Diceros bicornis minor: one gene and its partners. The protein of the gene in region 1 interacts with the protein of each later gene in a pairwise test. Links are inferred from orthologs where the notes say so. Each region holds a gene or a part of one and is shown on either strand. Other genes may lie near its edges.

Region 1 (8,032 bases):
CAGGGACAGTCTACAGGATATCTGGTCAGCACTCCTCAAGACTGTCAAGGTCATGAAAAACAAGGAAAGACTGAGAAACTGTCACAAACCAGAGGAGACTAGGGAGACATGACAACTAGATGAAATGTGGTACCCTGGTATGCAGAAAAGAGTTAACATAGCAGGCCTGAGACTGCTATCCAATATCAAGGCCAGCTTGCAAGGTTGGCCCTTGACTGGCATCTGGGAATTCAGATTTTGGGAGAGTTCCCACAATTCCCTGATAAGAATGGCTTATGATGCCTAAACTGTACAAACAATGTGGTTTATGCTGAACACTGGCTTTCCTTCTGGGAGCCTGGAAATTTGGGTGCACGTTAGGTAGAGGGTGCCTGTGTGACTAGCCTGCAATAAAAATCCTGGGCATCGAATCTGCAATGAGCTTACCCAGTAGACAACATTTCACATGTGTTGTCACAACTTGTTGCTGGAGGAATTAAGCATGTCTTGTGTGACTCCACTGAGAGAGGACTCTAGGAAGTTTGCATGTCCAGACTTCATTCACTCCACGTGCCATTTCCCATTGCTGATTTTGTTTTGTATCCTTTCTTTGTAATAAATCATAGTCTTGAGGATGACTATATGCTGAGTCCTGTGAGTCCTAGTGAATCACTGAATCTGGGGGTGGTCTTGGGGATCCCTGGCACATATGCATTGGATCCTGGGAAAAAAGAGGACATCAATGTAAACACTGGCAAAATCCAAATAAAGCCTGGAGTTTAGTTAACAGCAATGAACTAATGTTGGTTTCTTAGTTTTGACAAATGTACCATGGAAATGTAAGACGTTAACAGTGGGAGGAATGGGGTGAGGGGTAACCGAGAACTCACTGTCCTATCTCAGTAACTTTTTTATAAATCTAAAATTATTCCAAAATAAGTTTATTTAAAAAAATAACACTCAAACTAAACGCTTTGGAAATTCATGAAAAATAACATACCACTCTTGGAGACTGAGTACCCACACAGAAAGGTAAACACAGGTAGATTCTTGAGTATGCTTGCCATTAAAGATGAGGAGGAGCTAAAGGAATCTCTTTAACATGTGAATGCTTTCCAAGGGCTAATCCTCAGCCCTTTGCTCTTATTTCAATACAAGCTCCTACACAATATCTCTTCTTATGACTTTCCAGTGCTGTAATAGCCTCCTAAACTGTTCTGTCTGGGTCTGCTTCTTCATATACATCATGTACATTGATGTCAGATTAATATCCAGAAACTCTTTTTAGTATACTACTCTGCCGCTCAAAATCTTTAAATGATTATCTAATGCCTTATATGCTAAAATTAAAATTTCTTAGCTTGTTCCTTAAGGCTCTTCTCAATCTATTTCCTCTTATTTCTATCTAGCCTTGTTTTCCATTCCAACACTAAACCTTAATCCTAGATAAATCCATCTAGACAGTTCCCAAACATATCTTGAACATCCTAGGTTCAATGTTTTTTTGAAAACCAGATCCTTCCACCTGCAAACGTATCTTTCTTATTTGTGCACCTAGCTTTACAGTGTAAAATGCAAACAGCTTTCGGAACTATTCCATGTAAGAGTTCTCTCTTGTATGTATCAAGTCTTTATACCAGAAGTTGTAAGACGGTTCTGTTTGACCCATTGTTAAAATGTTGAAGCAATTCTTAACATTTAAAAATCACTGAAAAACTGGAAGCTCCAGCAGGGCCCACACTTCAACAAATGGCCGAAGTTGACTAGTACCTGCCATCTTCAGAACGCGCTGTTGGGTTGGATAGCCACAGCTACGTGGAAAAGTATTTACTGAGCACCTATTTCTTGCCGGACATTGTTTTAGGTGCTGCGAACAAAATTGATCATGGAGTTTATATTCTAAAGAGGGGAGACAGAAAACATCCTCATTAAGTAAATTATATATTAGGAAGTGATAAACGCTATTGAAAAATAAAGCAGGGTTAAGAGGGTTAGGGAGTGTGGGTGGGAAGGGTGCTTGCACTTTTACATTCATCTAAATACCTGGCTGCATGGGAATTTGAGTGTGTGACCCCTAGTACATATCAGGATTGTCATATACTGTCACGTATATGTTATACACTGCCCCTGTAAAACTGTCAGCAACTTGAAGGCACGGAGTGTGCCTCATTCGTCTTTGGATTCCCACAATCCAGCAGTGTTTGCCCGGCGAGGACACGATGGAAACCGAAAAGTTCAGAGTCCCGACAGAGCCACGGTTACTTCGACCACCGTTTTCCAGGGCGGTTATTCCGGCGGGGTTTAGGCGCCGAGGAGAGCGCAACACCGTAAGCGCCCGAGAGCAAACCCACCTCTGCGCCGAGGCTCCATCCGTTTCCAGGGCAACGGGACTGTGACGCGACCGCGGCCGTGGAGGGACTAGGCTGCAGCTTAAGAACGCACCCAAGGAGCGAGAACTTAGCCTTCCAAACCGGCTGCGCCGCGCGGAGAACACCACACGACCGCGCCCCCTGCCGTGCCGCCGCCGGGACTGCGCGCTTCCGCGCTTCTGGCGTCGCCCCTTTCTAGGCGCGACAACTTCCGGCTCGAAGGTCCCCCGCTCCGTGGCCTGCCGGGGTCCTAGCGATGGAAAGGTGGTCGCGGCGGCCGCCTGACCCCTGTGGGGGCCTGGGACAAGGGCTGCCGCCTCTTCCCGGCGGCGACAGGGGCACTGAGAGGATGCCCGTGGCTGGCGGGACCCCGCCCCGGGAGAGGCTTTGAGGGCGGAGCGCGGGGGCGGCGCGCGGACCCGGAGCTGGCCCGTCAGGCGGGAGCCGGGCAGGTGCGCTGGCGGAAGGGCGAGGACGCTGCCGGAGCCGAGCCGTCTAGGAAGCCTGGGCCGGCCGTCACCCAGCCCGCAGCAGCCGCCGAGCCTCGGCCAGACCGCAGCGACTAGGGCTCGGGCGCAGGCGAGATGCCTCTGTTCACCGCCAACCCGTTCGAGCAGGACGTGGGTAAGTGCCGAGCAGGACGTGGGTAAGTGCTGGGCCTGGGCCCGGGGCTGCTGTTTGTCGTGCTAGAAGGTGAGCGGCGGCGACTCCGGGGACTGGAAAGCCAAGCAAAGGGCGAGAGGGGGGCGGCGCCGCTGCCTCGCTGCCGGGATTTTTCAGGGGGCAGCCTCGGCGCGTCGCCAGCGGCTTGGGGAATGCCACCTGGCCACCTGAAGTTGGAGACCCCGAAGGAAGTCCTTTCTCCTCGCCAGGTGCAGGAATGGGGAAGAGCCTGGGGCTCGCTGGAGACTGGACTGATGAAGCAGTTGCGGAGTTGATGATACACACTTCCTGCTCCCTCTTGAGCTGGTTAAGCATCCCCTTCCCCCCTTAAGAGATGATGCAGCGATGAAGACCCTGCTGTCTAGGGCAGTCCGACTCTAGAGACCTCGACTCGCCCCCATTCAATAGGAAGAAGCTATTTCACCTCGCTTATATGCAAATACATCCAAGTCCTGACAGCCCAGCTTCGGGATTTATTTACAGTGGAAGTGTTACTCTCTGTCCACGGGTAGCGCAAGTGCTACGAGTTGTTCTCTTAGAGTATGAAAAGCAAAACCCTAGGATCTCAAAACAGTCAAGAACAGCTAATAGTATTTCATTTCTTGGCGTCGTAAGAGCGCTGATGTCTCTGACTTTGGAGTGAGAAAAAGTTGGGCGGGATATGAGAATTTCTTTTGGGCATTAGAATAACAGTAAAACAAACTGGCTGAGTAAAGATTTTTGTAGCAATACTTAGCAGAACCCTAGGCAGAGTGTTAGGACTTAGTGGAATAAAAAAAATCATGGCTGAAAATTGCCAGAGTCACACAGAATACTGCACATCGTAGTAGTGAGCCACCTGTTTCATAGTTAAAATTTTCTAATTATGAGGAGATTCTAGAAAGTACCCTATTTTGGTATATTATGGGATCCCCACAGCGTGTTCAGAAGTGAAACATGATGTACGTTATAAGCTCCTTCCATTCTCAGAGAGCTGAGAAATTTTATAATTATATCTTGACCCTTAGTCTTCAAATATGTCGCACAGGTGACTGGCATAAATCTAGGAAGCATACGTTGAGGCTCACAGCTCTGCTTTTGGAACATGTAATGATACTTTCCTTTGTTGCTGTGAGACCTGTACTTTTTATTGCTGTTGTGAAGACTTTCATTGTGTCCTCGTGAAATAAAACAGAAAGGGCAAAATAGAATCAAGACAAATGATTTGCAAACTTAGAAACTGTGAAACTGTTTTTTTCAAGGGAAATCTTTCCCAGAAGCCCATTGTTTTCTGACTGAAAAGGTCTCTGGTAGAAGCAGGCCTAGTTGCTCTGCCTGTTTTGTTTTTCTAAACCTCCCCCTCAGGCTCCTGAGGTCCCAGCATGGTTTAGTGGATCATAGTTTAGTGCCACTGTAGTAAAAGAGGCACTGCTGTTCAGACAAAAAATACTGCTGTGTGTAAATTATTTCCTGGACAGTGCCATCAACCAAAGCATCAAGTATTTATTTGTTAACTCAAATAAGTGTGACTGAAGTCAGTATCCAAAAGGCAGCTTAAGGGTGAAAGGGCGAGTTTGAGGCCTGTTTGTAACTTCTTTTAGACAAGTGAATGGAATTAATCAAAAAAGTGGAATGAAATACTAAGTTTAAACTGGCCTTAAACCTGTATCATAGAAGAAAAACTATATATTACATTTTTCAGAACTTAAAGCTCCTTTTAATTTGAAATAGTTATGTAGTACAAGCAAGTTAATATTTAACTTGAAATGTCTCCAGGAATGTTCTTTTGCAGTGTCATTGTCTTTTTCACCTGCTCTCTTGGATTCAGTCAGATTTTTATTACCGTTGTTTCTTTTTTGTCATACTTGTGTTCATCTTTCATTCAACAAATGTGCATTGAATGATTACAGTCGCAGACATTGTGTTAAGTTCTGGGGACACAAAAGTTTAATAAGTAGACTGAGTTCCTGCCCTCAAGGAACTCTCAATCTGATGGAGGACACATACACACATAAAAAGATAATTGTAATATAATGTGATAAATATGGTACTAGAAATACTCGAGATGCTTTACATTCTCCTGTTATTTAAAGCAGTCATCTTCCCTGAAGAGAAGACAAGGGCCTTCAGGCAGATGCCTTCCCTGTAAAGGTGTTGACACTATCCTCCCTCTCTCCCCACTCCCTGACAGCCCTTTACCTGCAGGAAGTAACCACCTCTTACTATATGTATGCTATGGTTATTTCATACTTAAGGGCCTCTGAAGATGAAACTACATTTCTTTGGTAGGTTCAGAGTCTCCCCAGAGGGTGAGCAGTCTTTCTGACATTCATTTGGGGAAGAAACCCTTTTCTCAGACCCTGAGGAAAGGCTGTAGTGGGTCAAGATGTCTAGGAAGGCTCTCCTGAGTTGAATGGTTGTAGATGACTTGTCATGTGGAAGCAAGCCAAAGGCTAGGATGTAAGGAACTCTGACAAATTCCTTTTTTTTTCTTGGAGTCAGAACCTGCAAACCCTGAAGGGTATGCTGGGTATGGTAGCATTAGAGCTCTTTAAATATTTATTGGATTTCTTCAAATCTGGATTTATTTTTGTTTTCTTCACTGAAATTCCTTTGAAGCTGTGCTGAGAAAATACTCCCACCTGCCCCTGCCCATCCCAGCCCCAAGTCTTAAAGCCTGGTTGGGGCAGCCTTCTTAGGGAATTCCACGGGGAAAGGGCAACGTGGGGGACAGAGCCAGAGTAGGAAGATTTAGTGGTTAGTGTTAAAAGGGAATGTGTCATTTCCGTATATTCTGTACCAATTTTTCCAGTCTCGCTATGTTGGTTCCCAAGTCATAATTTATCTGTTATGCTCCCTGACTCCAGTTCTTCTTCACATATCTTTTTTTCTCCTTACTCCAGCCAGGCAGTCTTTCTTGCTAGTTTCTGCCTCTGTGCCATTTACTATTCTCTGATAGACTTCTGCTTTTTTCCAGCAACCTTGGTATCTCCTTCCTTGAAGATATACTTAATTGTGTCCCACAAAGCTGAGCTCAGATTCTACCTCTGCAAAGCTCTTCTGACACAGTGGATTGAAGTGTGAACCTTTATCTTAGAAGGAGACTTGTCTAAGTGAAATTTGAATGCATGTATTGCTGTGTCTTTGGCTTGTGTTGTGTTTGATGAACTTGACAGTGAGGAGCTTGGGGGCTTTCGGTCATGGGATCTTTTACTCCATGGAATTTTATAAGAAACTCTACTATAAAAATAGATATTGAGGGGCCTGCCTGGTGGCATAGCGGTTAAGTTCTTGCATTCTGCTTCGCCGGCCCGGGGTTCGCCAGTTCAGATCCTGGGCGCGGACCTACTCACCGCTCATCAAGCTGTGCTTAGGCGGCATCTGCATAGAAGAGCTACAACTCTACAACTATGACACACAACTGTGCACTGGGGCTTTGGGGAGAAAAAAGAAAAAGAGGAAGATTGGCAACAGATGTTAGTGCAGGGCCAATCTTCCTCAAAAAAAAAAAAGTAGAGGACACAGAAATACATAGAGTAACCTCAATTTGGGGGGAAAAAAGATATTGACAGCACTCTAGTAATACAAATTTACTTTGTACATTCAAATCTATAACATTTACATTCTTTTTGAGTCAGTTCTTGAACACAGTGAGGTTATAATCTTTGCAAAAAATTAAAATTAAAAATAATTTTTGGTTATGAATAAGAATGATAGCTGTAACAGCCAGTTTTTTTCTATACTTTATTTTGCTTACATTGTACCAAAAATCCTAATATTTTCAGATATTTACAAATTTTAATTAATGTATTTTATAATTTTTTAAACCATGAAATATTTTTAGCATAAAGTACAAGATATAAACTCCTGTTCCTATCATCCAGCTCTCTCAAGTCCTAATATGTTGCCACACTTTATTCTTTTTTTTTAAGAAAACATTCAAGATACAGTTGAAATTATCTGATATATTTAGTAGCTACCTGATCCTATTCTTTTTCCTCCCTTCTCAGAGTTAAACACTCTTCAAAAAGATATAAACTCTATTTTATAATGTATATACTATACACACGAATATACTATATGTATTGTTTTGCATATTTTTAAACTTCATAAAAATAGTGTCATTTTTTTATTTATTTGTTTTTTTAGGAAGATTGGCTCTGTGCTAACATCTGTTGCCAATCTTCCTCTTTTTTATTCTTTTTTCTCTCCAAAGCCCCAGTACATAGTTGTGTATCATAGTTGTAGAGTTGTAGCTCTTCTCTATGGGACGCTGCCTCCACATGGCTTGATGAGCGGTGAGTAGATCCGAGTCCAGGATCCGAACCGGCGAACCCTGGGCCTGCGAAGTGGAACGCGCGAACCCGACAGCTGGGCCACCAGGCTGGCCCCAAAATAGTGTCATTCTTTGTGTGTCATTTGTAACTTGTCATTCAGCATTTTTTGTGAGTTATTCATGTTGATATTTGTAGCTCTAATTCATTAACAGTTATGTGGTGTTCCACTGTATGAATATACCACATTATTTATCAATTCTCCTGTTAATGGACATGAAGTTTTTTCCAGTTACAGACAGCACTGCAGTGAAAGTTGTATCCATGTTTTCTTGTTCACATGAGCGAGAGATTCTCTAGGGATTGTATCTTGAGGAGGAATTCCTTATTAAAAGTGTAAATAGTGCAAAGTTGCAAAATGTTAGATAGTGCAGAATTGCCCTTCCGTATACTCGTGGGAGATTTTGCTCCTGCCAGCAGTGAAATTAAAGTCCCTTGTTTTTCCACATTCTCACTAACAGTGGGTGTTGTCAAATTTTTAAATTTATGCCAATTTGATGAGTGTGAAATAGAGCATTGTTTTCATTTCACCTTCATTGTTAGTAAAGTTGAGCATCTTTTCATATATTTCTTGGTCATTCTGTTTTCTTTTTCTAAAAATTACCTGCTTATTACTTCTACTTATTTTTCTGTTGGATTATTTTATCTTACTGATTTTTAGAGTTCGGTATACATTCTCTACTAATCTTTTGTTGGTTATGTGAATTG
Region 2 (8,032 bases), on another chromosome or scaffold:
TCCTGAAGTCCCAGAAAGTAGGATGTGACTACAAGAAAGATGGTGCGCGGTCGATAAAGGGGGGCCCCAGGCGTCAGTTTCCAGAGCAAGCCCCTCAGGCCCTTCCTTCCTCTTGAGGTCACGGAAAGAAGGCCCTCCCCGCCCCTAACACCTGCGCATTGGCTCTTGACGACACCGCTGCTGGCCGCGTGTCTTCACTTCTGGAGGAGAGAGGCAGTGGTTTTGAGGAGAGAAGTTCCGCCTCTCGGCTGAGTCATTGCCTCCCAGTGGTTTGGCCCAAACTATGTGCACAGTTCAGGGCACCCCGAGACTTTCTTTTCCTCCCAGAGCACTCCGTGTGCAGCCATGGCAGAGGGTGCTGTTCTAGGCTTTCTGTGTTTTCTGCCCTTGTGGGTTTTTCTGTGACTCAGTTTTCATAAATAAACGTGTAGGCAGCTCCGGGTCTGCCTTTCCTGAGACAGGAAGGGACAGCGCGTCCTTGACGGTCAACGCACATCTAATTACCGCAGAGCTCCGAGGCCCTGCTCCCCAGCTGCAGTCTCCCCGAGCCCAGGTTGTGCCCGAAGCAGATGTGGGGGTTCTTGGGGCCAGCCGGGAAGGAACGTCAGCCGACTCCGGGGTGAGCCTGGTCAGGAAGTGTCCTGGGGCTGGTATTTGGGGCCTGTCTTCCCTCCGCCTCCTGTATTTCTGTGCCTGTGTGTCTGAGGAAACTGACAACATACCCTAACCACTTTTCACAATTGTTCTCATGTTTAAACCCTGAACCTGTTTTCACCAAGATGTCCTGTGGTCTTGTTAACCCTTCTCCTCCTGCTTAACCCGCCTCTGTAGACGTGTGTGAGGACCCTGGTTTCCTCCACCCACACACAGGGGCCTCCTGAGGTTTGCTGCTTGCTTCTTTTACAGACCTGCTTCATCTACCCTTTCTAGGCTTGGACCTTTCCTCTCTCTGTAACCTTCCATGGCTCCCACTGCTCCATAGCATTGCTGTCCTGTAGAACCAGAAAGCGAGCCACATAGGTAATTCAAAATTTTTTAGCAGGCGGCTTTTAAAAAGTGAAAAGAAACACGTGGAGTGAATTTTAACAGCATGTTACTTACCTGCATCTATCTAAAATATTATCATTTCAACATACAGTCAATATAAAAAAATTATGAATGAGATATTTCACATCGATGTCTTAAAACATTTTTGAAGGCCAGCCCTGGCGGCCTAGTGGTTAAGTTCAGCTCGCTCTGCTTCGGCGGCCTACCTTTGCTTCCTGGGCATGGACCTACACTGCTCTGTTAGCGCCCATGCTGTGCTGGCAGCCCACATACTTAAAAAAAATAGAGGAAGATTGGCACGGATATTAGCTCATGGCAAAGCTTCCTGAGCAAAAAAAAAAAAAAGTTTTTGAAAGCCAGGGTGTGTTTTACATTGACATCATATCCTAAATTGGGTGTTAAAATTTTATCAGAAACATTTGATCTCGATTCAGAGTTCATTAAATTTGCTGTTGAAGAAGTGGATTCACATACCCAAGGTGTCCCACGCTTACGTAAAAGCTTTCCAGTAATTAAGTTGTGTATTAGATTTTAAATTTTAATTGCCTAAACTTAAATATGACTTAAAAATTTACTTTCTCAGTCACACTAGCCACATTTCAAGTATTTAGCAGCCTCTTGTGGCTGCTGGTGTGACCATATGGGACAGCCCAGATGGAGAACATTTCCATCCTTCCAGAAAGTTCCATTGGACAGCACAGGCTTATAAAGTCCAAATACCTCCAGAGGACTTTCAGAATTTTCTGGAAGCTGGCCCCAACCTATCTAGCTTTATTTATTGACTTTGTTTTACACGTGTTCCCTTTCCCATGCCTCTTTTTCTACTTTGAAATGCCTTTTTGTCTCTTCCCCTGGAGAAATCTCCTCTTTCGAGCTCGGCTTAAAGGCAGAGCTTCCTGAAGGATTCTCCACTTCTCCCCACAGCAGAATTAATGACTGCCTCTGCCTCCCACGGGTTCTAGAAGCCGAGGCAGAATGCGTGGGAAGAGGCGCAGGCCGGTCGGAGCCCCCGGACCGTGGCTCGCTGCCCTCCCAGCTCGTTTCCTCACTTCTCCTGGGACAGGTTTGAATGGATCTTCTAACGCAGCCTTAGCCCTGCCCCGCTGGAAAAACAGAGCCACACAAAGGAGGGCACTGTGTCCTCTCCAGCTGCCCTGGGGCTGCTGCGCATGGGCTTCAGACGGGAACACGGCCCGGGTGCGGGAGATGTAATCCTAGGTGGGCATCAGCTCCGTTGGGGAAAAAACCCTTTCTCTGCCCTCACAAAAGGAAATACGTGCCTGGCTGCTCTCATACTCAGTTTTCAACATGGAAACTGGTGTGTGTGTGTGTGTGCGCGCTTTTTAAAAAAATATAACATACATACAGAGAAGTGCACACGTCCTCATTGCACGACTCGAATTTTCACAAAGCGAACGTGTCCATGCACCCAGCCCCCAGATGAAGAGAGAGAACATGAGCAGCCCCCCAGAAGACCCCCCTTCAGCCCCCTTCCAGCCTCTCCTCCGCCTCCCAAGAGTAAGCACTTTGCGGCTTCTAGGCCCATGCTTCGTTTCGCCTGTTTCTGGACTTTGTGTAAACGGCATCATTTACGGTGAGCTTTTTCGGCGTCTGGCTTCTCTCGCTTGGCACTGTAATTGCGATAGTTCCTGATCGGGTTCTGAATGCCCTTGTGTTTTCCGTCCCCCTGAACATGATTAGTGAGACCACAGCAGTTACAAAGAAAGGAGAAAAAACACTGGATGTGAAAGTTGGGTCGCCTTTGGGCAATGGTTTTAAGTGCGAAGAAACTTCTGCTGGAATTTGGCTGATGTTTGCCCTTTGAGATTTTCTCGGTTTTGGTGATTTTTGGTTGTCATTATTTACCTTTTATCTTTATTTAGGGAATCCCTTGTTAAGGTGACAATTCTTGGGTCTCCAAGGAACATTAACCCCCATTCCGGCTATTGAACAAGGCTGGACATGAGTCATTTCCTCAGATTTTCTGGTTGTCAGGTGGAAAATTAAAGATTAGAGTGGAAAAGGGGCCGGCCCTGTGGCTTAGTGGTTAAGTTTGGCGCACTCCACTTCGTGGCCCAGGTTCGATTCCTGGGTGTGGACCTACACCACTTGTTGTCAGCCATGCTGTAGTGGTGACCCACATACAAAATAGAGGAAGATTGGCATGGATGTTAGCTCAGTGATATCTTTCTCAAGTAAAAAGAGGAAGATTGGCAACAGATGTTGGCTCAGGGCCAATCTTCCTTGGGGGCGAGGGGGCGGGGTGCGAGGGGGCGGGAAATGATTAGAGTGGAAAAGAGAGAAATGTCCATTGAGTGTCTGATCTGGTCTCTTCTGGTTTTGCTTTAGGTAAAATGTCTGCTCCAGGATACTACCAGGCGGCCGCTGGGCCTTCCTCGGTGCCAACTGCGCCCCCGTCCTATGAAGAGACGGTGGGCGTTAACAGTTACTTCCCCACGCCTCCAGCCCCCGCGCCTGGGCCAACCACGGGGCTCGTGACAGGCCCAGATGGGAAGGGCATGAATCCACCTGCGTACTATACCCAGCCAGTGCCCGTCCCCAACGCCAACGCAAGTACGTGGGGTCTCCCTGGTCTCCCTACCGCCCTGACCTTGGCTACTCCATGAGAATGAAGACAGTGACCAGGGTGGCTCTGCCTAAGGGTCTGAGCCAAGTGCCAGCCAGTCCAACTTGACCCTTTATCCTGAAATTTCGCATGCAGGCTAGGTTCCGTATCGGTGAGGCCCGTGGCTTTTCCACAATAAGGAACGGTTTACGAGCCTTCCCAAGTCTGCTGTAAGCCCATCCTTGGGCTCTTACCACAGAGGGACAACCAGCTATTCCAGAGAAATTTGGGAAGGGGAGTTTACTTTTAAGGGCCCCCCCTTCCTGCTGAGGTTGGTGGGAGAGCTCTGCGCGAGGCCAGGGCTGGAGGAGGAGAGGGAGAAGAAATAGCCCTGAGTGAGGGAGCCCGCCCAGCCCACCAGCACCATTCGCGCACGGTGCTCCCCTGCCTCCCAGCAACCTCTTCACGACCTTGCCCCTGGGTACCTCCTGCTGCCCAGGTGTGCCCAGTATCACCAGCAGCTCGGGAGGAAATCCCCAGCTCAGAGCGGGGGGCGGGGGGGGGTGCCCGTGAGTCAGGCTGCCTGGGTCACCCACCCTCCTCTGCATCAGTCTCCCCACCTGTAAAATAGTGCTGCTCAAGTACCCCATCAGGGGGTGGTTAAGATTACATAAAGCCCTCTGAGTCACCATTTGATAAAAGTGAACTAAAGTTGTCATTGTGCTCAGCTAACTGTCCCCCCTTGAGATGGAGGAGGACCAGGTAATGACTTCAGACTGTTTCAGATCACGCTCTGATCAATATATAACTCATTCTTGCACTCAAAAAAGACTTAGTAAAATTTACATGTAAGAGCTAAAGTATGCAATACTGCTTTTCTAGAAGGTCTTTCTAGGAGTATGAAGGTCACTTAGCTCTGGGCAGTGGTTAACTTCCCCTAATGCATAGATTATAGAAATGGCATTCCAACAATGTGGAAAGGAACAGAAGGAAGTCACTTTGACAGAAATATGAGGTTAATCAACTTTGCCAAAAACATAAAGAACAGCCTGAACTGGAAGGGCTTCCTGATTTACATCACTCTAGATTCCCTTCTGGTGATTGTGAATGTCTGTACATGTTTTCACTTTTTAGTGTGATTTTATGTGCTCATTTCATGTATCGACATGGCTCCCCGGCTTGTCTTAAAGAACTGGGTCCGTGTTCCTTGGCCGGGTAAACTCCAGCCTTATCTCTGGGTGTAGGAGTTCATGAAGGAGCCCCGTGTGAAAAGAGGGAATTGTTCATCACGGTTCACTCTGTACCAGGCACCACATGGGGTTCTTTACCACCCTTATCTCGTTTAATCCTGGCAACAACTCTGTTCCTTCCATTTTTTAAGTAACAGCTTTTTTGAGAGAGAATTCTCATACCGTAGAGTTCCCTCTTGTAAATGATATATGATTCACTGGTTTTAGTATATTCACAGAGTTGTGCAACCATCAGCACTAATTCCAGAACATTTCCATCAACCCAGAAAGAAACGCTGTACCGGTTAGTGTCACTTCCCATACCCCCTTCCCCAGCCCCTGCAACCACTAATCTATGGATGAAGAAAATTGAGGCCGAAACCCATCACATCGCTGTTTCTGAAATTACCACCTGCAGACCACCTTCGTAGAACCACTCAGGGAGCTTAAAAAGCAGTTTGGGGACCCTGCCCCAGACCTGCCGGATCAGACTGTCTTGGGGGGCAGGGCCCAGGACTCTGCATTCTCAGTCGGTTCCCTCCGTGATTGCACGGAGAGTCGAGTTTGAAAGCCTGGTTTAGCTGAGCCAAAGTCCTCTTCCGGGAGCACACAGTCTTTTCCCATCTCGTATGTGGAGGTTTTGCGAGCCCCTCAACTGATAATTCTGGAAATCTGCCACTGCTTCTTCTCGTGTTGTCATTTTTCTCCCCACCCCAACTTTTGTTTTTTATAAAATACACATAACATAAAATTTATCATTGTCAAGCATTTCTTTTTTGTGTGTGAGGAAGACCAGCCTTGAGCTAACACCCGATACCAATCCTCCTCTTTTTGCTGAGGAAGACTGGCCCTGGGCTAACATCCGTGTCCATCTTCCTCCACTTTATATGGGACGCTGCCACAGCATGGCTTAGCGAGCGGTGCGTCGGTGCGCGCCCAGGATGCGAACTGGTGAACCCTGGGCCGTCGCAGCAGAGCGTGTGCACTGAACCGCTGTGCCACCGGGCCGGCGCCATCAAGCATTTCTAAGTGTACAGTTCAGTGGCATTAAGTACATTCACACTGTCATGCAACCATCACCACCATCTGTTTCCAGAACTTTTTCATCTTGCAAAACTGAAACTCCATACCCATTAAACACTAACTCCCCACCCCCTCCCGCCAGCCCCTGGCAGCCACCATTCAACTTTGTCTCTGTGACTTTGACTCCTCTAGGTGCTTCATACGTGGAATCATACAGTATTTGTTCTTTTGTCACTGCGTTATTTCACTTAGCATAATGTCCTCAAGGTTCCTCCACATTGTGGCAGGTGTCAGAATTTCCTTCCGTTTTAAGACTGAATAATATTCCATCGTGGGTAAGGGTAGATCACGTTTTGCTCATCCATTTATCCATCGATGGATACTTGGGTTGCTTTCACCTTTTGGCTCTTGTGAATAATGCTGCTATGAACGTGGATGTGCAAACATCTGTCGAGACCCTGCGTCTGCCTTTCTGCCATCTAATGAGTGTTTTCCTCGTTTGCTGATCAGCCTGTGTCTGGTGTTCTTCTTTCCATCAGTTGCCGTGCAGACAGTCTACGTGCAGCAGCCTGTCTCCTTTTTTGACCGCCCAGTCCAGATGTGTTGTCCTTCCTGCAACAAGATGATCGTAACTCATCTGTCCTATAACGCCGGTGCCCTCACCTGGCTCTCCTGCGGGAGCCTGTGCCTGCTGGGGTAAGTCCGTGGTCCACTCGGCCCCCGGGCTCTCTCACCTTCCTCTCTTGTAGGATTTCTCAACTGCAGCACATACTTCTGTGTTGTGGGGGGCCTTCCTGTGCACTGTAGGATGTTGAGCAGCATCCCTGGCCTCTGCTTACTAGATGCCAGCAGCACCTCTTCCCCTACTGTTCTAACCAGAAATCGTCCTTCTGGAGCATATCAGGGCCTGGATGCCGTTGTCCCAGCCATCGTTTCTCCTTGCTCGTCTGCTCAGACCACTCCCTGCATGTAGGGACACGCACGGCAGCCGCGTGCATCTGTGTAGGCTGAGGCTGTCAGGGATTTCTTTTGCTTCTAGGATTTCATGACCTAAATAATAATGTTTGCCTGACTCTGAAAGAAGCGTTAAACAGTCCGTACATTAAAATACTTTATAGTCATCTCTTCAAAACTTCTTATCTTTTTATGACCTCAAGTATTTTTCCCGTTGCCCGTACAAGGAGAGTGTGTAAATATTTATGTCTGCACCAAGGGTATTATATTGAGAGAGAGAGGAGTTTCTGTACTGGGAGCAATTTGAAGAAACACAATTCAGTTTTTTTCCCCAAACGGACAGAGGCGGCATCCTTCTTCCTGGCCGTGGAGTCACTCCGTGAAACCACAGGCCCTCTGTTTTCTTCCTTGAAGGAAACGGTGTTTGTGCGTTTCTTTTCAGGAGTGCTTATCTCTTGTACAACAGCTGGCTCGTTCCTCATCTCCTGCTTGTGACTCAGGTCGGGCAAGAACGGTATTTCTCTTCCTAATTTCCAAGAGAGGCTCAGAGCCCCAGAGAGCTTGATTAACTTCCTTGAGGACACGTGTTCAGGGGGCAAGAAATGAGACCGAACAGGTTTCTTGGCTCCCGATTCCCTGTCCTGTCTAGGGGAGTCCACTGATGGCTGTCATCTTCACTCCTCGGACAGAAAATGCTAAATATTTGCCTTTAGACATTTATATTAAAACTAATTTTTATCTTTGAAATCAGGGAAAGACAGAATGGAAACGTCTACTGAGCGTCAGCCTCTGCTGATCTGGCTTTCAAATTGAGGCAGCTTTTCTGTCCCTCCCTCCTTTTTCTTCCTTAAATATAGTACCGTGGGTTCAAATCCTGCCTCCCGCTGCTGTGTGACTGTGGGCAAGTGGGTTCATCTCTCTGTGCTCCAGTTTGCTGGTCTGTAAACTGGGGGGTTATAATGCCTACCTTGGGGGGTTGTTGGGGATAAAATAAGTCAGTGTGTGTGCAGTGCTTCATGGAGCCATGTCTGCCCATGTAGGCTGTAGATTAGGAATCTCTCTAAATGGCCTGGCTGCCCTATTTGAATTCGGGAAAGCTTACGCAATAGGAGGAAATTTCTCTCACGAGGACGTTTCCTCATCAGGGTATTTCCTGATTCTGCTTTGTGTAAATCAGTGTCTTCCTGTAAAATGTTGTTTTTTAACTACGTTT
Region 3 (8,032 bases), on another chromosome or scaffold:
TGTGAAATTTTAGTTGTACGTTATTGTTTGTGAGTCACTGTATAAATGCATCCTTTCCCCCCTTATGCCCACCCCACAACCCCCTTGCCCGTGGTAACCACCACACAGTTCTCTCTGTCTGTGTGTTAATTTTCCACTTATGAGTGAAATCATGTGGTGTTTGTCTTTCTCTGGAGATTTCATATGAATGGAATCATATAATATGTGGTCTTTTGTGACTGGCTTCTTTCACTTAGCATTATGTTTTCAAGGTTCATTTACGCTGTAGCACGTATCAGTGCTCCATTTCTTTTATTGCTGAAAATATTCCATGGCATGAATTACCACATTTTGTTTATCCATTCATCCATAATACCGCATTTTGTTTACCCATTCATCCACACTTGGGTTGCTTCTACCTTTCGGCTATTTTGAATAATGCTATTTGTGTACAAGTTGTGGTGTGACATATGTTTTCATTTCTCTTGAGTATATACCTAGGAATGGAATTACTGGGTCAAATGATAACTCTAACTTTCTGAGGAAATGTCAAACTGTTTTCCAAAGCCTCAAGCCAACCTGAAATCAATAGATCTGAATCATCCTCTAAGAGTTTAGTTACAGGGCCGGCCCCATGGCTTGGCGGTTAAGTGCACGCACTCCGCTACTGGCGGCCTGGGGTTCAGATCCCAGGCGCGCACCGACGCACCGCTTCTCTGGCCATGCTGAGGCCGCGTCCCACATACAGCAACTAGAAGGATGTGCAACTATAACATACAACTATCTACTGGGGCTTTTGGGGGGGGAGGAAGGAGGAGGATTGGCAATAGATGTTAGCTCAGAGCCGGTCTTCCTCAGCAAAAAGAGGAGGATTAGCATGGATGTTAGCTCAGGGCTGATCTTTCTCACAAAAAAAAAAAAAAAAAAAAAAGAGTTTAGTTACATACAGCTCAGCTTGATGAGGTCTAAGGACTTATGGTAAGCAAGTGTTTAGGGAATGCAAAGAATCAAGCCTGGGTTACAAATCCAAACCTCAAATACTTGAGTGTTAATACTTGAGTGTTATTTGGCATAATCTTAAAGTTTGGGGCAATGTTACATGGATTTGTGTTTATGATAAGCTGAAAAAGAAACTCACAGCTATAAATGTGGCCGCTAATAAAAAAAGAAAGCTACAGCACAACTCTTAATTAGCAGCTTTAGAAAGGTTTAGTTGCCTGAAAAAATAACTAAAGTTATTGTATAAAACTATCCATGGATTTTAATTACCTCTGCTATCACCTGTTTCTATATAGGGACATACACAAAAAATTTAAGGGCAAAGTACTTAGAAATACTTTAAAGTATTTAAGTATAAAATACAGAGAAATGCACAAAGTGTAACTCCATGAATTTTCTCAGAATGAATCCCACCCATGTAACTAGCACCCACAGCAAGAAACAGATGGTTATCAGCCCCCCGGAACTGTCTCTTCCAGTCATTAGCCCTCCAAAGGGAGGGAGGACATCTGACTTCTAGCATCAACATTCCTAGACACAAAGAATACATTTTTAATAGTACACTTCTGGTGTCAAGGATTAGATCAGTGGAATAGATTTGTTAAGTTGACAGAATTTCTCAAGACTCACTCAGACGTTTTATATTGCACAGTGCAGTAGAATCTTGAAAATTAAATACCTTTAAGCTTGTGTTTAAAATATAAGGTATAAACTCAGTACACAAGAAGCTTTTAATTTAACATCGCCTGCAATTTAAGAACATGTACTGCAAGACATTTTTAAAGTGCATGAAACAAACATACTTGAAACGTTTATTTTAAAAGACAGCTCCTTTTTTCTCCAGGATTTGAAGTTTATTTCCAAGAGGAGTTTGTAAAAGAAGTCTTAGGGACTATTAATCACAGGTGCTTTAAGAATTCAAAAAGTGTATATGTAAACACACATGCACATTAGCAATGTGGGTTGAAGTAAGTAATGACCAAAATAAATACTGTATAGCCTTTGCAAGCAGAGCATAAAAATGGATACACATTTCCCTTGGTTTATTGGGTAGCAGAATGTTAAATACCCTCATCTTCCTGATAAAATGAGTTGCCTGATACTGAGACTGACACTGCAAAATGACACTGCTCAGGTTTTTAACCTGGAAAAAATATATTATAATAGTTTTATGTATAAGAACACTTTCACACATAAGAATTCATTGGAGAGAAAGGTATACTATTAGGGAAAACCATTTTAGAAGGCGAATCATCTTTTTTGTTTTTTAAGGCTCTAATATGTCTTATAAATTACCAAAAACAGATTAGGATTTTATTAGGATATTTCTTCGGAAATTTCAGGATTCTATGTTCTACCAGGTGATACCTAATACAGCTCAGGACTCAAGGGGAGGCGGACACAGAGTGTAACCCTTGCCACACGCTCCAGATCGCCCCCGGTTCCTTCTTTCCGGATGCTGGATACTTACTTCCAACGTAACCTCGTGCTCACTCTGGCTCCTACCCTGGTGCGGGGAAAGCATCCCTGCCCGCTTCCCTCCCCACCCCCTCCCCCACTTTCAGGCGGCGGGCTGCGGCGCAGGGTCAGCGCCCGGAAGCCCAGAGCTAGTGGTCAGTTCGCTCTGCTTCGTCCTTCCCTGAAAGCCGGCAACTTAGACTTTTCCCACCAAGTCACCCATAGCCCCTCCTCCTGCCTTCACCCCCGCCCTGGGGGGAAAAAGTTTAAAGCCGGACTCCCTTCACATTAAAGGTTGCCGGGGGCCCCCTCTTGGCTGGACCGGAAGGGGGCAAGGGTCCACAGCGCTTCTCCTGCGCTCCTGTCCTGCCCCAGCTCGGCGGGTGGGGGACAGCCGTCGGCCGCCAGCTCCGACGCACCCTGACCGCGAAGTCCTTCCTAGCCCGAGGGACCTATATAAAAAATTGGGGCTGGGCACCTTTCCTGGACCCCAGGGAGCGGGCGCAGGTTCTGCCGTGACCCAAAGGCTGCAGCAGCCGCGCGGCGCGAGCGCAGGGCGCGCGTGGGTGTGTGTGGGGGTGACAGTGAGAGTGCGCTGGGAGCCGGCCGGGGGCGGACCCGCCGAGTGGCAGGTGGGTGCGGCCGGCGGGAGCCCGGGCAGCGGTGGCGGCGGCAGCAGCAGCAGCAGCAAGTGGTTGGGCCGTGCGCATTTCTTTCCCTCCCCCTCGGCCTCGGAGCCCGCCCGCGGTGCCCAGTGCGCGGCGCCCGCGGCTCCGCTCCGCGTCCCCTCCCCGCCGCCGCCGGCCGCTCTTTCCCCGCCCGTCCATGTCCCTGCCCGTGGTGCTCCCGGGCTCCTGCTGCCCGGTGGCCGGGCTCTCCGGCGGGCCGCAGGCCGGGGGCCCGGGCGCCGCGGCCGCCACCGCCCAGGAGCCGCCGCTGCCCCCGCTGCGGCCACGCTGGCCCCGGGCCGCGCTGCAGCCCCCGGCGCGGCCTCGCTGCGTGGCCACCGCCGCCGCCGCCGGGGTGCTGGCCGCGCCGCCCGCGCTCTCCTCCCGCCGGGCCGCCGCCGCCGCCGCCGCCGCGGCCCCGGGCGCAGCGCTGCTCCCCGCTCGCCCGCTGTTGTCGCTCGGGCTGCTGCAGCTGATCCTGGGCTGCTGCATGGTGGCACTCAGCTTCGGGGCACTGTCGCTGAGCAGCTCTCCGCAGGTGAAGAACTCGTGCCCGTTCTGGGCCGGCTCCTCGGTGAGTGCCGCACGCGCCCCGCTGGCCTCGGCAGGGCCACCCCAGGAGCAGGGGGCTCTGGCCGGTCCCGTCCAGTGCCCTGCGATTGCCCACCCCAGGGCTGCAGTGACAGAGCACAGTCCTTCAAGCCAGTTGAAGTTTTGGAGGCGTTAAGGCTGGAAAAAAAGGCTGAGAGAGAGTGGAGTTCAGGGGCGAATGGGTTGCACCTAGACAGTGTCTGTTCCTCGCAGGCTAAAGGATTTTATTGTCTCTGTCAAGCTAATACAATAAAACAGATTTCCAGCTTTTTAGGAGTTTGGAAGGATGGGGTGGGTGGCAGGAAATTGGAGGAAAATGATTAAACTTCTGTCGGCCACTGAGTATTTATTTCGCTGACAGTGTCCGTGCGGGGAGGCTAGAGATTTTGATCAGTGTTTGTTCACTAATGTATCAACAGTGCCGGGCACATAGTAGGTTTATTTGTGAGATGGATGTGTGACAGCTTGACTGGGGCACGTCACGTATTTTATTCTACTTGAAAGCACGCGTAAATGTGAAATGTATCTGGTGTCGGATGGCTCCACTGTATTTGGGAACGAGTTCAGGAGTTAATGACAGGGTGTGTGTAAACGCGCGCTTGTAGCTGGCCTTTATGACTGAGGACCCTAATCCCCCAGTCTGTTCCTGGAGCCACGCAGTCTGCTGTCGTTACGCGTGAGCTCGCCAAGGCCCCCAGGAGCGCGCGGCGGCTGGCTGGAGCAGTCTGCCTCCCTCAGCTTCCTGGCCCTGCTTCTTCCACCGGGGACCAGCCTGGAGCTTCTGTGGTCACCGGGTGGCTACTCCTCCCTGCCTCCTAACCATGTCACAGCTTGCAAGGCGTCCAGCCTCTTGAGATTTGCCCCGGGGTTGAGAGTTGGAAACAAGTCTTTGTGGAATGACTGTGGAAGATGAGTGTTTTAAAGTAAAAGACCTTCTTATGAACGAAATCTCCAAGTCTGGCAGCGCCTCTAGTTCTAAGATCTGTAATGAAGGAATGTTCTGAATGCGTAAAAACTGTCCTTTTGGCTGTCCACACATACCCAGATTCAGGACCAAATTTTAAGAATATAGGGAGAACTAATGGAACCCAAAGTAATTCTTTGAAGAAGAACATTAAGTACCTTGAGCCTGGCCTGATGTTTTATTCTTAAACTGGTGCCCATTTGCTCTCCTTAAATACTTGGATACTGAGTGATCTTACTGTGGTACAATCCAGCTCCAGTAACTGGAGTTCACACTCTGTGCATCATGTAAAAGGAATGCTCCCTCCTGGTCCTGCCCTTGGGCTCTCCTGCTGGCCCCCCTGGGTGTTCTTTAAAACTCCAGGAGGAAGGGTATTCCCAACAGGGTAGGGATTTTATCCATTATGCTCTCTAGTCCTCTTCTCAGACTAAATTCAGCCAAATGGTGGGTGCATTTCATTTCTCTAAATACCATAGGCTGGAAGTGAATCTTGCATACATTTTTAGGGATTTGCTTTTTGTAAAATCATAATCTCTTTGTCTTCTCAAATATAGCTAGTTCAGGTTATCGAAAACTAATTTTTCCCTTATAAAATTAAACCCCAAAATTATTGTACAATTGTGAATTATTTCAGAGGTAAATGCACTTAGATGTTAGTCAAGCCACAGTTGGATTTGATGAAGTATATTAAAAAAAGGCCGTCAGCCAGAAGATAAAGGCTATTAACCTGGGCCTGATGGCTGGGCGTCCTTGTCTCCAGGACCCAGCAAACCAGAGCAGGGAAAGACTCGGTGTTTTGGAACTAAGTTCTCTTCTATAGGGTCGTTTTCTACACCTTGCCTGCCAGCTCCACGTGCAAACCGGCAGCTGTTCGTTTTTCTTAGTTTTTGTGGCCTGTTTCTGAGAGTAACCTCAGAATTTGCAGAGTGACAACAGAACCGACAGATGTTGCATCTCTAGAACAATTAAATAGGATGTGAGGATAGCACCAGACACCGTGACTCTCTTGGTGTTTTAGGAAAAAGTCTCACCAGTAGTTTATGTATGTGAGAGAAGTTTTTTTTTTTTAACTTTGCATTATGAAAAATTTTAAATTTATTCAAACACTGTACAGTGAACCGTAATATCCCCCTCGCCAGCTCCAACAATTGTTTCATCCGTACCCCTTCCTGGCTCTAGTGCTGCCTCTCTGTGTTCTGATAACTCTAGGAGGATGGGTGTTCCAAGCGAGGTAGGAATTAGCTCCATCATGCTCCCTAATCCATTTGTCAGATTAACTTCCCATATTATTTTGAAGCAAATTTCAGACATCACATCGTTTCATTCGTAAATATTTCAATATGTTTATATTTTTAAAAAGAAAATGTAAACAGAATAGAGAGACAGCATAGAAGTGACCATAAGAGCCCCCCTCCACTTTTTTTTTTTAAGATTTTATTTACTTATTTATTTTGCCCCCAAAGCCCCAGTAGATAGTTGTATGTCATAGCTGCACATCCTTCTAGTTGCTGTATGTGGGACGCGGCCTCAGCATGGCCGGAGAAGCCGTGCGTCACTGCACGCCCAGGATCCGAACCCCGGGCTGCCAGGAGCGGAGCACGCGCGCTTAACCGCTAAGCCACGGCACCGGCCCCCCCCTCCACTTTTAATATTTCATTATGAAAATTTTAAATCTCAACAAATGTAGAAAAAATCGTATAATGAACCCCCATTTACCCATCACCCTGCTTCCGTAGTTATCAGTATGTGGCCACTTTATATGCAAACTTACACCACTGGATGGATTATTTTAACGTAAATTCCAGGTATCATAACTTCAGGCATTAAATATTTCAGTATGTATTTCTAAAAGGAAAGGGTTTAATAGTTAAAACAAAGGGGCTTAATAGCACATTGTAACTAATTTAAAGACAGCTAAACTAAGGTTTTTATGAAAAACCTTAAAAATGATGACTTGAGGACTGCTAAAGTTTTTTTTTTTTTTTAATTTATTTTTTTCCCCAAAGCCCCAGTAGATAGTTGTATGTAGTTGCACATCCTTCTAGTTGCTGTATGTGGGACACGGCCTCAGCGTGGCCGGAGAAGCCGTGCGTCACTGCACGCCCAGGATCCGAACCCACGCCGCCAGTAGCGGAGCGCACGCACTTAACCACTAAGCCGCAGGGCCGGCCCTGCAAAAGTTTTTTAATAACAGCTTTATTGAGATATAATTCACATTCCATATGGTTCATCCATTTGAAGTGTGCAATTCAATGATTTTTAGTAAATTCACAGAGTTGTGCAATCATTACCACAATCAATTTCAGAAAGTTTTCATCACTTGCCCCCAAAAATACCCTGTGCCCGTTAGCAGTCACTCCCCATCTCTCTCTGACCCCCTAGGCAGCCACTGATTAATCTACTTTCTGTCTGTATGGATTTGTGATTCTGGACATTTCATATAAATAGAATCATACAATATGTGGTCCTTGGTAAAGGCTTCTTTCACTTAGCATAATGTTTTCAAGCTTCATCTAGGTTGTGGCACGTATCAGAACTTCATTCCTGTTTATTGCCAAATGAGATTCCATTGTATGGATATACCACGTTTTATTTTTCACTCAGAAGTTTTATTGGCATATGAAACTAGGTAGTTGAGTGACAGTGCCAACTTAAGTCTAAGGTTACTTCAAACCCACGTAGGAACACAGTAGAAGGATAACCTCATGTTTCAAGCTTTGAACGAGCATTATGCATGTGCCTTAGTTGGCTCTATCCACTAAATCAGCAAATCTTCTTCTGGCTTCAGTAAAAATTTTGCTTGTATATTTGATACAAAATTAAATCCAAGGGACAAATATATTCATTTGAAAGGACTATTGTTAAACACGGTATAGTTCAAGAATGTTTTTCCATATACACCTCTGTGAGTGTTCTCACCTTAAGCCTGAGATTTTGAGGCTGCTTTCACTTGTCTGAACCTTGAAGGTATATTTTATCTATTTTAATATATATTTAAGAATTAGCAAGTCCTATAAAGACTCTTTTTCTGTACTTTACATTCATACTTTCAACAGCATGCAGGGAGTGTTTTTAATATACTCATTGTTTTTGAGCACTCTGTGATCATTTATTTTCTTTTTGGTATCCTTGGTTAATGACTCAATTGATGATTATTCCCAAAATTCATGAAGCTAAGAGATTAGCCACTTTTAAAAGCATCCTGAAATTTGACTCCAGGTGGCGGCAGAGGGAGGATCTTGATGTCCAAGTTCAGGCCGTGCTGTCCTGGCTCCTGATTTGGGCGCGCATTTAGTTATTATTAGTTAGATTCCACAGCGATTGTGGGAGACCCAGCCTACCACACTGCGATAGATTAATGAAAAAGTAGAGA

Evidence for each region. The genes of interacting proteins can lie anywhere in the genome.
Region 2: the proteins of STAM2 (region 1) and LITAF interact in a two-hybrid assay, tested with the Homo sapiens proteins (4 studies listed by BioGRID and IntAct). The two-hybrid records come from large-scale screens. The link is inferred for Diceros bicornis minor from reciprocal best matches to the Homo sapiens genes STAM2 and LITAF.
Region 3: the proteins of STAM2 (region 1) and ENTREP1 interact in a two-hybrid assay, tested with the Homo sapiens proteins (2 studies listed by BioGRID and IntAct). The two-hybrid records come from large-scale screens. The link is inferred for Diceros bicornis minor from reciprocal best matches to the Homo sapiens genes STAM2 and ENTREP1.

The regions. Positions count from the first base shown.
Region 1 is NC_080749.1:36,024,400-36,032,431, reverse strand, and holds the start of STAM2 (signal transducing adapter molecule 2), read left to right. Parts: upstream 1-2,824; 5' UTR 2,825-2,932; coding exon 2,933-2,972; intron 2,973-8,032. Other genes in the region: FMNL2 (formin-like protein 2), read right to left, coding at 2,331-2,349.
Region 2 is NC_080765.1:38,395,045-38,403,076, forward strand, and holds the start of LITAF (lipopolysaccharide-induced tumor necrosis factor-alpha factor), read left to right. Parts: upstream 1-3,396; 5' UTR 3,397-3,401; coding exon 3,402-3,621; intron 3,622-6,404; coding exon 6,405-6,561; intron 6,562-8,032.
Region 3 is NC_080761.1:23,819,392-23,827,423, reverse strand, and holds the start of ENTREP1 (endosomal transmembrane epsin interactor 1), read left to right. Parts: upstream 1-3,211; 5' UTR 3,212-3,261; coding exon 3,262-3,678; intron 3,679-8,032. UniProt on the Homo sapiens protein: Functions as an activator of the E3 ubiquitin protein ligase ITCH in the ubiquitination of the CXCL12-activated CXCR4 receptor. Thereby, triggers CXCR4 endocytosis and desensitization, negatively regulating the CXCL12/CXCR4 signaling pathway.